3 linked regions of the Rattus norvegicus genome follow. The protein of the gene in region 2 interacts with the protein of the main gene of each other region in a biochemical or structural test. Links are inferred from orthologs where the notes say so. Each region holds a gene or a part of one and is shown on either strand. Other genes may lie near its edges.

Evidence for each region.
Region 1: the proteins of S100a6 (region 2) and Cacybp are reported together in a solved structure, tested with the Homo sapiens proteins (2 studies listed by BioGRID and IntAct, with this or other methods). The link is inferred for Rattus norvegicus from reciprocal best matches to the Homo sapiens genes S100A6 and CACYBP.
Region 3: the proteins of S100a6 (region 2) and Cep43 form a complex in vitro, tested with the Homo sapiens proteins (2 studies listed by BioGRID and IntAct, with this or other methods). The link is inferred for Rattus norvegicus from reciprocal best matches to the Homo sapiens genes S100A6 and CEP43.

What each region holds. Positions count from the first base shown.
Region 1 is NC_086031.1:74,978,158-74,983,244, forward strand, and holds the start of Cacybp (calcyclin-binding protein), read right to left. Parts: upstream 3,083-5,087; 5' UTR 2,932-3,082; coding exon 2,911-2,931; exon of another isoform or gene 2,720-2,910; intron 1-2,719. UniProt on the Homo sapiens protein: May be involved in calcium-dependent ubiquitination and subsequent proteasomal degradation of target proteins. Probably serves as a molecular bridge in ubiquitin E3 complexes. Participates in the ubiquitin-mediated degradation of beta-catenin (CTNNB1).
Region 2 is NC_086020.1:178,396,540-178,400,809, forward strand, and holds S100a6 (protein S100-A6), read left to right. Parts: upstream 1-1,997; 5' UTR 1,998-2,015; intron 2,016-2,548; 5' UTR 2,549-2,569; coding exon 2,570-2,707; intron 2,708-2,998; coding exon 2,999-3,130; 3' UTR 3,131-3,223; downstream 3,224-4,270. Other genes in the region: S100a5 (protein S100-A5), read left to right, coding at 315-458. UniProt on the Homo sapiens protein: May function as calcium sensor and modulator, contributing to cellular calcium signaling.
Region 3 is NC_086019.1:55,108,428-55,113,713, forward strand, and holds the start of Cep43 (centrosomal protein 43), read right to left. Parts: upstream 3,083-5,286; 5' UTR 2,999-3,082; coding exon 2,897-2,998; exon of another isoform or gene 2,686-2,896; coding exon 2,632-2,685; intron 2,322-2,631; exon of another isoform or gene 1,721-2,321; intron 110-1,720; coding exon 55-109; intron 1-54. UniProt on the Homo sapiens protein: Required for anchoring microtubules to the centrosomes. Required for ciliation.

The DNA.
Region 1 (5,087 bases), on a different chromosome or scaffold from region 2:
AATGCTCCATTCACAACTGATAGGAGTCCATTACAGAAAAGCACAATCAAAATGCAGAGCCCAGTCCCAATGGAGGTATTTGCAGCATAACTCCTTCACCTAAGGTCTGAGAGGCTCAGATAACTGCAGAAAATTACAAATGTTACCATGTGGAGAAATGGTACCTTTTGTGCAATTCTTGTGGAAATGGTAGATTTTAAGAACCAGAGGATCTAGGAGCCTGTTCTGAGATTGTGACTCCTAGTAATTAGAAGTTACATCCACCCAAAAAATCTTGACATGAATGCCTAAACTTGAGCTGAACAAAAATAGACACGCTATTGTGGACAAGGAAAGCCCAGGAAGTCACAATTCTACACAAGGACTGGCCCCAAAGACAGGCTGAGGGCAGGAGAAAGTCTTCCCCAAGGAAAAGCACACCAATTGGACAATTAGTACCAAATGGTCAGCCCTGTTAGCTTCCCTACAAGTAACACTACAGAGACTATGTATGCAACAATGAGGGAAGAAAAGGGACAGAGAAACTTTCGTAGTTTCATATTGAAAGAGTGCAAATGGGAGGAGGGTTTGGAGTGAGAAAGGGGGAAATGATTTAGTTTATTATACTCTCAAGAAATAAAAGAATTTTAAAATCTTTTAAATGCTAGTTATTATAATAGCTCATTACTCTGTGGCCTTTATGATCTCATTTGCTGTACTAATAACAGCTTATAAAAAGCACAGCAGTGAAACCCTGTCCACAATCCCAAGGAAACTTGACTCTGAGATCCAAAACTGCACACTCATCTTTTGAATTTAGAATCAAGATGTTTCATTCAATGTTTTTCAGTGGTTTCAAAATTTATGTGGATTCTATATATCAACATAATAAAAATATTAAAAGTAAAGCAAATACTTATTCCTAGAATAGACTTACCTAACTAACGGAGAAGGTTAAGAGTTTTTGCTTTTGACTGGAATGGGAATCCTTTTTTCTAGCTGACTCATGGCAGAATTCGAATGTCGTCTTTACGGCCCCTTTTTGCTCTAATGGACTCTTGAGTAAGCTATCAACTGAAGTGACTTACAGAAGAACCATTGCTTGACTTTTGTATTCACAGCCCTGAGACCATGGACAGTGCAGGTTCTGCATCCAAACTTTAAGGTGCCAAGGATCAGTTTCCTGTCCACTTTTTCTTGTCTTCTTGGCATGCATTTGTTTTCTACATATAAACATGTATCCCCCTTTGATTCTGTTTCCTAGTTGTTAAATAGGGGCTTGGTCTGGTCTGGTGGCACATGCCTTTAGGTCTACCACTCTGGAGGCAGGGGTGGGTGTCTCTTAAGACCAAGCCATGGGTACTTAGTGAGACCTTCTCCCACCCAACTGCACAAAATGTAAGAACTCAACTTCTCTCCACAAAAACATGGATGGAACTGGACACACACATCTACAAAGATACACAGCAATCCACAAGGCGGAATTACACACTCACTTGGATGGTATCACATGAACAAAAACCACCCAAGAAAATAACAATGTTAGTGAATGTGTAGAAATGGTACCTTTGTGCAATTCTTGTGGGAATGGTAACTTCTTCCAAAGCTTTCTCTTATTATTTGGCAACTACAGGGACTAAAAACATGCCCACAAAACAAAACTTGTTTACTCGAATTCACATTCGTCAAGATGGAGAAACACGTGTGTGCCAGCAGATGAGTACGAATTGTACCTGTACAATGGAATACTATTCAATCATAAAAAGGAATGCTCTTCTGATACCACGGATGAGCACGGAAGGCTCCAATCCAGCTGGACGGAGTACCTACAATGGATTTCTACTTGAGGAAATAAAAATATTCTGCGACTAGGTAACAGTGATGGGTGTACGACCGAAAAAGTTGAATTATACACCTTAATATGATTGAATAAGATGAACTTTATCTCAAAAGAAAAACGTGCCCCTATATTCATATCTCCAAGTCTAAAGTTTCTTCCTTTGGAGACAATAACAAACTACACCTCCGTGCGCACAACTGTTAAGCCACTCTCCACTCTCCCAGAGCACATGGTGCCCGAGTCTACTTACTTGTTGCAAGATACCCATGTTAATACTTTAACATTAACTTCCTAATTTTTATGTGTTTAAAGCCGATGTCTTGCTTTTCAAAGTGAGGGGGAAATTTCCGAAAAGCAAATCTTAACAGATAGCCAACGTGTCTGTGAACACAATATATCAATCACATTAAAACCGATATAGGCCAAAACCCGGCAATTCAATTACTCTTGTTATATAGCTGAGTAAAACTTAAGAATCCAAAAAGTCATCCACGTTCACTTTTTACAAACCTAAAACCATACGCCACGCAATTTCCCACAGCTAAATTACCAATAATTTCTTTTAAATGCTTTTATAAAGATTGGGGGTGTAACGCAATGGTAGAGCGCTTCCCCAGCATGTGTAAGGCCTGCAGCTCCTCCACTGGCGCTGCTCAATAAAAACTAAAACCGCAAGCACTGCCCAAGGCGTTCAGAAATAACACACCGAATGTATATGGAATGAATGTGGCACCGTGGCTAGTCGTGCAGGCAAAGGGATTCCTTCCAATTGCCCCGGGCCCGGAGCTCAGAGCTTTTGCAATGAGCTTTAATTTAAGGAAGGTTCCTGTTCCCTAGCCGGTAACCGGGAGCCAAGAAGAGCTCAAGCAATAGAGAGGGGACCTTCACCCGAGAGCCTACCACGATCCGCGCCAAAAACTGGGATCCAGACACACCCCCGACCTTCCTGCCGTGGCCCGGACGCTCGGGGTCCAGGCAGGTGGCAGCGCGGAGGCCGTGGGCCCGCGACTGGGGAAGAGCTGAGGATACCAGCCCCGGGAAAACAGCGGCCACCGGGCGGTGCGAGCCGGTGGGTCCAGGCCGACCCCTACCTCCTCCAAAGCGGAAGCCATGCTGTGGCGCGTCAGACCCGAGGCCGGAGCTGCAGCGGTGCACTGAAGTAGACAGGAAAAGCCGAACACGGCACCCACGAGCGTCGCAGCGTCGGCAGCGAGCTACACCGACCCGGCGGGACTCGGCGGCCCGCCCTCCGCACGAGACGGCTCTGGAACCTTCGCGAGGCTCCACCACCAGCCCGCGAGGCCCCGCCCAGCTCCGCCCCGCCGAGTCCTGGCCCGCCCCCAGGGAGGTCGCTTAGCAACGTTCAATTCTCGCGAGCGAACGTGTGCTCTAGAAGCGTCAAACCATCCTTCTTCCGCCCCAGTGACTGAGACGTCATTCCGCGCCGACATAGCCTGGCTGCGCAGTCGCAGCTCGCAATCGCGGCCTGATTTAGCTCCGGAACTAACCTTCAAAGGTTTGGGGACCCAATAGGAAGTGTCTAGAGAAGGACTGCTTCCGCGGGTAGGATGCTAAGCTAGCCAGGCTGCCATTTTGTCTTCGGTTCCTGTGAGGTGTTATGAGAGAACAAAAGAGCACTCCCAAAGAAACACAATTAAGATTAAAAAAAAAGGGGGGGGGGGAGGGGACAGATTTGTTAAGGGAGGAAGGCTCCTGAAGAGAACACTGGCTTTTAAGTGGGCATTGGGTCTCCGGAGACGTCCTGTGTCTAGCACCTTTGACGTGGCGCCCTCTCGTGGGACTGTAGGAAGGCTGCACGGGCTACCTGGCAGTCTCCTAGTCGCAGTTGTGGGAAGGCGGCACATTTTCAAGTGGCCGAAATCTTCATTCTCCCTTGCCTTTGAGAGCTCTTGATAGTGAAAGGATATTAAAAGAATAAGTTATAAAATTCACAGACTCAGAGCCAAAAACTATAAGAAACAAATCCAGGCATGACGGGGCCCGCCCTGCTGCTAGGACTGACAGACCATAAAGATAAAGAAAAGGAATGCAGGAACCAGCCCGAGTTATCAGGATTGACTCATGAACCATCTGGCAGGAGGACATCTCCCCCAGCTTACTCAGAGTTCTACTTTAACCAGATGTCCTCCAGACCCTGAGAAGCCCCTGACTTCTAGCAAGTACTCTTCTGCTGTGTTGTAATCTCACTGCTATGTTTGAATGAGCCAATTGTGTGTAACCGCGCCAAAACCCCCTAGCTTTCCCTATATAAACCCCTGACTTTTGAGTTTTGGGGTTGACTCCTCTGTCTCCTGCGTGAGACACGTGTTGGCCCGGAGCTCCGTTATTATTAAACGGCCTCTTGCTTTTACGTCAAGCCGGTCCCTCGTGTTTCCTGGGGTGCGCCATCCCGAGACTAGAGCGAGGGTCTTTCAATAGCAGACTTTTCCATTGCCTTCTCTTAACAAACAGTTCAGATATTGTTTATTTTCATCAGGGTTTGGATTAAGTGATCCCACATAAAATGTGGAGAAATTCTTCTAGTTGTAGGAGCCCGGATTAATAAACCCCAGTGTAAAACCGCTTTTCAAATTACTTTAACTCTGACAGCATGGAGACGTCTATAACATACAGGAAAACAAGACAGAAAACAAACAGTATCCGTTGGGTGGTCAAGCAATCTGCTATCAGCTTACAGATGCCTAGGGAAGCTATTAGAATCAGCAAGTCAAGGAAAATGCTGCTAAATTACACTTCACAAATTAAAGTAATTACATTAAACACGCAATATGCGTAAATTTCTCACACAAACGTTCATTAAATGACAAGTCAGGCACGGATGTATACTGTATAGTTGCAATTTAAATAAAAGTCTCAAACCACCGGTCCCATGGCCTGTAGTGATAAAAATGAAAAAAAATCTTTTTTCTGGAGAATTTTATTGTAGCTATAAGGAAGAAATCGGGCAGAGGGAAGAATCCAGGCTGAACATGGGTGGTAGACGAAATACAACATAAGGGAGGAGAGAGAGAGCAAGAGAGGTGCCTCAGGCCTGTAAGGGTCCATGATTCACCTAAGAATGATAGCCTAGACTGAAATAGTATGTAAATGCAGACTGTTTTAATTCTGCAGAAGTCCAGCTTGCTGGGGTCTCCCATTTCCAGGGTAGATAACCAAGTGAGCTTACAGGCTTGATTTAAAGCACATTAAGGGATTCCAGGGTAGACTTTATCTTATCTCATCTCTAGGGACATTCCATTGCCAGGCA
Region 2 (4,270 bases):
AGAGAGTAGTGATGTCTGGATCCTTTCCCAGCTTGGCCTTACAATGCAGGCAGGTTACGTCTAGGACTTGGACGGTGCTCAGGACCACATGGCAAGACCTCAAGCTGTTTTTTAGTAGGTAATGGTATGAATTATAGATTATTGTTTCTTTGGATGGGAAGATGTCCCAGGAGCAAAGGCTAGACAAGCCTTCCTACTGTAATTCACTTGGAATCAGCACGCAGGTCATTGACCCCATTTGGTGTCAGGTCTTTGGTGAAGGTGTGGGTTGTAGCTGAGCTTCTGAGCAATCTCCTCCCCTTGGACCCTTGCAGAAGATGAAGGAGAGCAGCATTGATAACTTGATGAAGAGCCTGGACAAAAACAGCGACCAGGAGATTGACTTCAAGGAGTACTCTGTGTTCCTGACCACGCTGTGCATGGCCTACAATGACTTCTTCTTAGAGGACAACAAGTGACCAGCTACCCTCACCAGCAGCCCCTTGTCCTGACCTCTGCAGCCTCTTTAACTGCTCCTCCTAGGCCCCCTGCCCTTCTCTTTCTTCCAGATGGATTCTTCCAGCAGAGAAATAAAGCCTTATCCACAGCATGTGCTGGTTTTTAAGGTGGTTTGTCTCTCTTGGCTGAGGCAGGGGAGAACAGAGGATTTGGACCACTCAGCCTTAGGCCACACACACGTGGTCTGTGGGTACAGGAGCTGGGCTCTCGTTTTACTCCACTTGCTGTCCTTCATCGTGGACATTGTTGGAAGTGTCCTGGCTTTGCTCTGCACTCCTGTAAAATAACAAAGCTGCCCAGACAGCAAAGACGAAGAGCAAACAACAGAAAAGAGCGAGGAGGCCAGAGGGATGGGCTGTGGCTGTGGCGCAGTGATGGTCCGGCAGGTCTGACTTGGGGATAGCCCTCAGGAGACCTCCCTAGGAGCCCTAGTAAGGAAGGGAGTCTTAGCCCTTCTCTCCACCCTTCCCATTGCTCACTGAAGACTGATTTCAGGATGCTAATTCCTCCCCATGCCCCACCAACTTCCTCTTCTTAAGACTTTTTTTTTTTCCAGGAGAAAATGTTGAAAACTTTTTACTTGAGATGAGTAAGTAACTAACGATGCTTCCTGGGCTTGGCTCCACTGTGTGCACATTAAGGCATAAGCTGCTCTGAGGATGAAATTCCAGGCAGTGAGTGGGAGGAGGCAAGTGATGTTGTTAGAAATTTATGGTTGGTGGGGGATGCTGTTTAAAATCTTTTAGACTGTGTTCCCCTTCTGTCTCCCTTTTGAGACATGGGTCTTATATAGGTTGGCTCAAAATTCTACCTCTTGGGATCAGCCTATCTCATCAAGATTTAGCCCAGTGGTGCTCAACCTGTGGAGACCCCTTTCACAGGAATTGCCTGAGACCATCTGAAAACACAGTATTTATGTCACGATTCATAACAGTAGCAAAAATATAGTTATGAAGCAGCAACGAAAATCACTTTATGGTTGGAGCGTCACCACAACATGAAGAATGTATTAATCCGCAGTATTAGAGAGGTCGAGAACCACTATCTTAGAGGATGCGGTAGACTGACTGCTTCCCCTCTCGCTTGGAGTTGACCTTGCCACTAGAGGGCAACAGCATCAGTATTGTTCCCAGTCCCCCTCACACTGATTCGAACTTTAAGGACACTGATCTCTGGCTGGTAGAGGGTTCAGCACACATACCAGAGTTACGAGTCACGTGCCAGAAGGGCAAACTGAACACGGAATTAGAGGGAACTCGATGTCTCCGGCTTGCACTGGTCTTCTCTTGCACTAGAATCCTTCATCCTGCTCCCAGTCCGGGACGTCCAGGCAACAAGGGCGTGGAAAGTGAGGGGGCTGGGAGGTGTGTTTGCCTTGCCTCAGGCGCTGGGTGGGGTTGGGGCGTGCCAGCACTCCCTGGGCGGGCCTCACCGATGCTGGCCACTATAAGGCCAGCCAGACTGCGACACAGTCCATCCCCTCGACCACTCTTTTGGCGCTTCATTGTCGACGTGTGGTGAGCTCTCACTGGGGCGTCCCTCTAAGATCTGTCCACTCCTGGTCTAGGGGTTAAGCCTTTCCTGCCCTAGTCAGCCTCTGCGGGCTCCATGGGTGGAATGCACTGGGATCCAAGTTTTCGGAGCCCAGGGAAGCAGGGAGAGCCATGGTCTGCTGGGCTGTACCAGACAAACCCCGAGGCTAAGGCATCCCCATGGGCGGCAACCTGAATCTGCTTTTCTGGGGTGCAGGAGGGTTTGCCCTGGGTGTGTCATCCTCGTCCCAGTGTGTGGCCCTGTCAGGAGGTTTCCAGGGGCAGCCTCCATTCTCTTCCTTGCTCAGTCATATGCTCCAGTTCTCTTGGAAGCCCTGGAGGACAGTGTTCACAGACCCCAAAGCCCCTTCCATTCTTAGACTCCTCACCTCAGTGGCCCTGGCTGCTACCTGTGTTGGCTTGAGGCTAGCTGCTTCAGGCAGGTAGTCTCCTGGCTCAGGGGATGGTGAGAGGACTCTCTGCTACCAGTAGCACTGAATAGCCCCTCTGTCAAACAGCTTCTAGCCCAGTGGTCAGTCATGGCATGCCCCCTGGATCAGGCCATCGGCCTTCTCGTGGCTATCTTCCACAAGTACTCTGGCAAGGAGGGTGACAAGCACACCCTGAGCAAGAAGGAGCTGAAGGAGCTGATCCAGAAGGAGCTCACCATTGGTGCTGTGAGTAGCCCCTGTCCGGGTTCCCCCTCCCACCTCTTGTCTGAGTAGCATTTAATCACAGTTCCTGATCTTACTTCCTGTGGAGGGATGCCTGTATGCTCCCATGCTGTCCTGTCCCCTGAGGGAGGAGCAGGGGCTGAGGAGAGTAAATCTAGGTAAACCCAATCTGAAGGTCCATCTTTGGTCACAATGAGCAGAGCTACTTGTGTGAGACAGGGCTTCCAGGGAAGGGGAAAGGAATCTAGGGTGTTGGCCACCACTGAGTATGGACTTCTCCTTTTAATGTATTAGAAGCTGCAGGATGCTGAAATTGCAAGGCTGATGGATGATCTGGACCGTAACAAGGATCAGGAAGTAAACTTCCAGGAGTATGTTGCCTTCCTGGGGGCCTTGGCTTTGATCTACAATGAAGCTCTGAAATAAAATGGGAAGGCAGAGATGCCTTCTGGGAGGCTATCCCAGTCAAGTCCAGTGGGGGGGTAATTATACAATAAATATTTCGTTTTTGTTATGTCTACCCATGTGTCCTGGCTTCTCACTGATTTCTAGTTGCTTCCTGGCTTGCTGCTGAACCCACCGTCTAGTGGTCCTAGTCACAGTTAATCTCTGCGAGTTGTAGTTGAGTGACCCACCCAGACAAGGAATCTTTATGGGTATTAGAAGAGGTACCCCCTCTAGGCAAAGTCACTTTAAACAAAGGCTTAATCAGGTGATCTCCAGGAGAAAGGGGCCCCTAGAAGCAGGGCTGCAATAGTCCCAGCAGTCCCCCAGAAGACACACTTTGGTCTGGGTGTGGTGAAATGGGGTGGGGGTTGGGAGGAGTAGATGGGCCCTGATATTGGGCAATCCAACTTCTCTCTGTGTGTTTGTGCGTTATATGAGGGAGGGATGGGGAGAGGTACATCTGAGGTGACCAGGGACACAGGACGACTGAGTTTTCTGTAGCTGCCTCTGTTCCAGTTGGAGGTAGAGGAGGCTTTAGGAGACTGTCCTTAGTATCACGTATGTACGGGGTCTTTTTTGTTAGGTGGTAACTCAAGGAGCTGGCAGCTCCATGAACACGGGACTCATGAGTGCTCACAAACAGGGCAGGGGTGGGGTCCTTAGACATGCCAAATGTGGCTTTAGGCCTTTCTGTCAATATTGACCCAGCCTATCCCTGCAGAATGACTCATAAGACTACTTCCCCGGAACCCAGTTGAGTCCTCAGTCCCTATCAGAGTAGATGGCCAACTGAGTTACTGTCTACTGTGTGCATTAGCAGTTAAATCTAGGTGTGGAGAAAGCTGTCATGATGTGTCTGAGTGTCATGGAGACAGCATTTGCTGCTATTCCTTCCAGGAAAGCCTAACTCAAGTTGGGCAACACCCTGGCCAAGACCAAAGGTGGAAAGAGCTGGACTTCATGTGGAGACCATAGTTGTTTTCTCTTCTAACCACCCACCCCTTCTCCCGTCAACTTTAAGATATTAATGGTCTTCCCTTGCTCTGGGTGGGGGCTAGTAAACAACAGCTGTATTTCTTAAAAACCTTTCTTCTCCAGCAGTGTCCTGGTTTTACCACA
Region 3 (5,286 bases), on a different chromosome or scaffold from region 2:
TCTTCCCACAAATACTGACAAAATTGTAAAGCTCAGAGATAAACATTATCTTACCATCTTTTGTATTTAAAAACTTTTTCAAGCTCTCATTAACCAACGGAGTTTTGTTCTGTTGAAAATAAAAAGAAATATTTATGTTTATAAAGTGTTTACATGTGCTATATGTTTACCCTAAAATAACTAAAAAGTGTGCATTAAAGTTCTCTCGTTCCCACAGCCCAACTTTACTGTCAGTAGGTGAAAAAAAGAAGAGCGGAGAGCATGCCCTGCAGAATGGAGAGCAGGCGGAGCTAAGTATCAACAGTCACGTTTATTTTGGCAAAGATATAAAGAATACATACATTTGGGGTTGGGGATTTAGCTCAGTGGTAGAGCGCTTGACTAGCAAGTGCAAGGCCCTGGGTTCGGTCCCCAGCTCCGAAAAAAAAGAAAAGAAAAAAAAATACATACATTTATATTCACAAAATCATGGTTTTATGATCCATCTCACAACTATTTATTTAGCATAGGACTTACTTTGTGCTATTTAGTAACTTTTCAAGTTAAGGAAACCAATCTGTATATGAAGACATTTATTTCAACCTTTAAAACACTTTTTTACACTGCAGGAGATTAGACTCAAGACCTTTTACATGATGGGCAGGCACCCTACAATTGTCTACCACAAGCCCTTCAACATGTTATAATTACACTGCTTTTGTAATGGTTTATTTAAAAACATGTGTGTCATTAGATTTACTTTTAACTGTTTATATTTCAAGTACATACAATTTGAAATTTATAATCTTAGATAGCTACCATTTGCAATTCCAAACTAATCAGTAGTGTATGAGATGACTTTGTATGGCCATAGCTCTGAACAAATGTAGTAAACTATCCTTCTTGCAAATAGAAATGTGGTAACTGTTGACAGTGAGGATAACATAGGTAACACATGATGGGGTCCTTAATCAGCCTCACATCTTGTGAATGGAAATACTAAATGCATGGGCACTGTGGAAAACAGTTGGAAGGTTTGTTCATTTTTAGGTTAACATTATCTCCAGCAGGTGAGCCAGTCCTTCCACCCTCAAGCATTTTCTCAAGATCAGTATCAGGTCCCAGCAAAGATTTGGACATGACCATTCACAGCAGCATTATCCTCAAGGGAAAAGCAGGGACAACTCAATGTGGTATCAAAGGGAGGGTGGCTAGGCAAATGAAGACTATCCGCTCAGTGACTAGAGCAACGATCACCATTCTTGAAATGAGGACTACGTGGAAGAATAGGATACACTGCAGCATTCTGCTGACTATCAGACCTAAGTGCATTTTACACGTTCCCATTTGCATAGCTCTGAAAATAACTGAGATGCTGCGGAAGGAAACTCAAAGGGTTGGGCCTGTATTTTCTTTCTTGTGTTCCTCACATTCCGTAAATAGCTTATCAAATCTGACTTTAAGGTGTGCATTTCCACAAACAATTATACCTCAAGTTAAAGAGGGAGAAAAATCACAGAAGTACATAGTGTGAAGAATCTAGGACACCGAGTTAACTGAACTAGTCAAGGAGAACAGAAGAACAGAATCAGGCATGTACTACAAATGGCCAACCCAGGACGGATGAAGACCTGAGACATATGATGAGGGCACCAATGACAGGTGGAGAGTAGCAAGTGTCGCTCTGGAAAAGCTGTAACTAAGCCAAGAGGGGCAGGCAGACACTGCCAGGAGACGATGGAGTATGGGTGAAGCAGGTCTGGAAAACTCGGGGACATCAGTCTGTTACTCAGTCTAATGAACAGGTCTGAAGCTGGGAAAGGGAACTATGTAGTACAGACACTAGACAAAGTTACCACAGGGAAGCTGCAGAATAAGTACGTGGACTGTGGTACGCAGGAACAAGATCCTGTTAAAGAAACCAAGGAGTATGCAAAGGAAAACACATAGAGAAAGCTTCCCGAGGTCAAAACATTTCCAAAAATGAGAGAGGGGTTACTGTCAGATGGTGTAGCGGCTAGGTGAGCTGGAGGATCAAATGATCATTACAGTTTGACTAGAAAGCAAAGAAATATGGGATTCCAAGGTGTGGACAATGGAACCTAGCCTAGATTCCAAGGTGTAGACAATAGAACCTAGCCTAGATTCCAAGGCGTGGACAATGGAACCTAGCCTAGTCAAAAATTAGCAGTAAGGATGAGAAGGAGGAAGTTAAGAGCGGGTAGGTATACAGGTCATAGAAGGATGGAGGAGATCTGTCGCACAGGAAGACTTTGATTATCCTGTGATTCTTACTGACAGGGAGTTCCAGGACACACTCAGGATGGTTGCTGGGAGCTGGGGTAGGCAGAAAAGCCAAGTTACAAAACATTCAGGGATTACTAGGGTTTTTTTGGTGTGTGGTGGTGGGGGAGGGGGGGACGGGGACACAAGAACAGAGATATTTTTAAGGTAATGGTCAGATTTTTATCCAACCAATCAGAATTTGGGAAAAGGTTCCACAGTACAACCCTTAATACTTTCAGAGTGTAGTAACTTTTAACCATTCAGAACCATCCCCGTAACGTTAGTCACTGAACTATTTCAGAATGGCTTTTCATTTATTAGAAACCAGGCGTTAAGAGGTACGGCGTTAAGGTCTGGGGCTCTTACCTCTACTTTTTCTTGTTCTTCTAGTGCTAAAAACACAGCCGCTCTGAGTTCAGCCTTCAAAAAAAAAAAGCCCACAAGTTATAAGTCAGTTTTGCGACCTGAAAGTACAGGGACAGGCACGAGGGAGTGTGCAGCGAGAGAGGGAAGGCCACGGGCCTGTGTGCTCCACACCCGGCCCACGAGCTCGGGCCCAGGCGCCATGGCCGCGTGACTGCCCCGCGCCCGCGTCCCGCGCCCTTCCTCCCTGGTAGCCGCTCCGCCGCACCTTGATACGATTCAGCACGCCGCTGTTCTCCAGCGTCTGCACCAGCAGGTCGCGCAGCTCCGTGTCCTCCTCAGCCACCACCGCGGCGGTAGTAGCCGCCATCTTGCTTCTCCAAGACAACCACCCAAGCTGCGCTAACGGCCAACAGCCGCTGCGGAAGCCGCCCGGCGCGCGAGCGCGCAGTCGCAGCCCCGCCCCTCACGCGGAGAAGACCAACGGGGCGGAGCCTCCAGGCAGCAGAGTCTGCAGGTTCCATGACGTGAAGGGCGGGGCCTCCGTGTACGGTCTGTAGGCGGGGCCACGAGCATGGGACCGGGTCAGGCTCTGGTGACACGCTCTGTGGCATATTATAATTATATTAGAAATGTCACTAGGTTGCACTTAATTCCCCCGTTCCTGTGTGAGAGAGAAGAGTCCACTCCGGCTGAACGTACCGGTCCCTCTAACTGAAGTGGTGGTGGCAGTGGAGAGCCTCTAGGAGGGAAGGAGAAGCGAGCTGCGGGGCAGGGCGGAGACTTCAAGTGGGCGGGGTAAGATGTGGGGCGGGGCCTTCCTAGGGGCTGTTTCTAAGCGGGAGCAACGTGTAGGCGGTCTGTTCTTGCCTCTGTGTGTGCGTATACACATTCAACTTAAGTCGGTTTTGCGGGGCGGCGGTAGTTGGACCGCGGGGGTGGGGAGGGAGTAGGAAAGTCTGCTGTCTGGTACCATGCTCTTGTTCTTTTGAAAAAACAATCAACCAGGAGGGTAAATTCCAGGCTGCCGCATACATGGGAAGCTTCAACCGTGTGGGCTTGGAACTTCACAAAGATTCCGGTACCAGTCTGTAAAAGGGTTTAGAACTCATGCAGGTGGCCTGTGCAGTATGAATGCAGATGCACATAAGAATAAAGTTAAACGCTTTCTGTGCTGCTTTTCAGTTTATGAAAGAAATTAGAAGAGTGGTTTTTTTGTTTGTTTTCCTATATCTTTCAAGAAAGGAATCATTGAGAGGTTAATTTCTTTTTTTTTTTTTTTTTTTTTTTTTTTGGTTCTTTTTTTTGGAGCTGGGGACCGAACCCAGGGCCTTGCGCTTCCTAGGCAAGCGCTCTACCACTGAGCTAAATCCCCAACCCCGAGAGGTTAATTTCTAAAACTGGCCTTAAGGAGAACAGTTAAGGGGTTAGAAGGGTCACACGGAACACAGAGAAGGTGCAAAGTATTTCCCATGCTGGCAGTCTAATTACAATTTGGGCACAGGAAAAAATGGGTTTAATAGATCTGGACAAACTAAGGCGTCCTTGGAGTGTGCAAACTTCAAGCTAGGGACAGATGAAGGGGAGAGTGCTCCAGTAAAGGAATAAACTTGTCTGTGCTTGGCTTGGTCCATGTGCAGTGAAAGCAGCATTGGTATGATTGGCAGAAGGAAGCTGCATTGGGGTGGGGGAGCTGGTCCAATGCAGACCTTGACATATTACTTTGGAGAATGAGGGCTTGAGGCATTAGCTGATCTGTAGATTTGGGCATTCAGAAAGGTTTGAAATGCTTTTAATCAATACTTTAAAACTGAGTGGCTATCCAGTTCTAGACCCCAAATTAAGAGGCTTGAACATGGTCAAAACTAATTCCCACAGCCAGGCAGCCAGCAGTCTGGGAACTCAGACAACAATCTTTACAGCAGTCTGAAGCCTTGGAGTGAGCCCTTGTGGGAGGACAGGGAAAAGTGCAGCTAGAGGGCCTGGAGGGAGACTAGAGATGCTTAAGACTCTGAGACTATAACCTCTACTTTGATCGCAGTGAAGATGAGATCTCCACAGACTAGTAAGGGTTGGATGAGGTCATAATCAGTGTCCCAGGTCAGTGTCCCAAACCCTCCCAACACTATAACTCACAAAAGGGTCTCTTAACAGGAACTGAAGACACTGACACCATCTTGAACTTCCTCTAGAAGACTAAGATCAGTTTCTGTTGTGGATGACACCTGGTCTGTGGTATTTTGTTACAGCAGCAGGAGCTACCAAAGCCAAATGGCTTCCCCAACAGGTTTATCGAACAGCTGTTGTTTTGGGAGGTTTGCTGGTGAGCAAGAGAGGGCACTCCAGGCAGAAGGAACTGGACAGAATGCAGTCAGGACTCAAAGGAAGATTAGTCTGTATATAGGAGAAAGTCAGGACCTAAAGTAAAATTACTCTGTATATGGGAGTAGCAAGATGCCCATGAACATATACATAGACACATACCTACTTGCATAGGACTTTTATTATAATCTGCCTACAAAGTCATGGAGACTGACAAGGGCTTGGGTCTGCAGTGTGAGTTGGAAGCTGGCAACTTGGGAAAATTGTTCCTGAGCTAGCAGGCTCAACACCTGGCAAAACTGAATCTGACCCTGGAGCATGTCCCCCTTCCCCTCC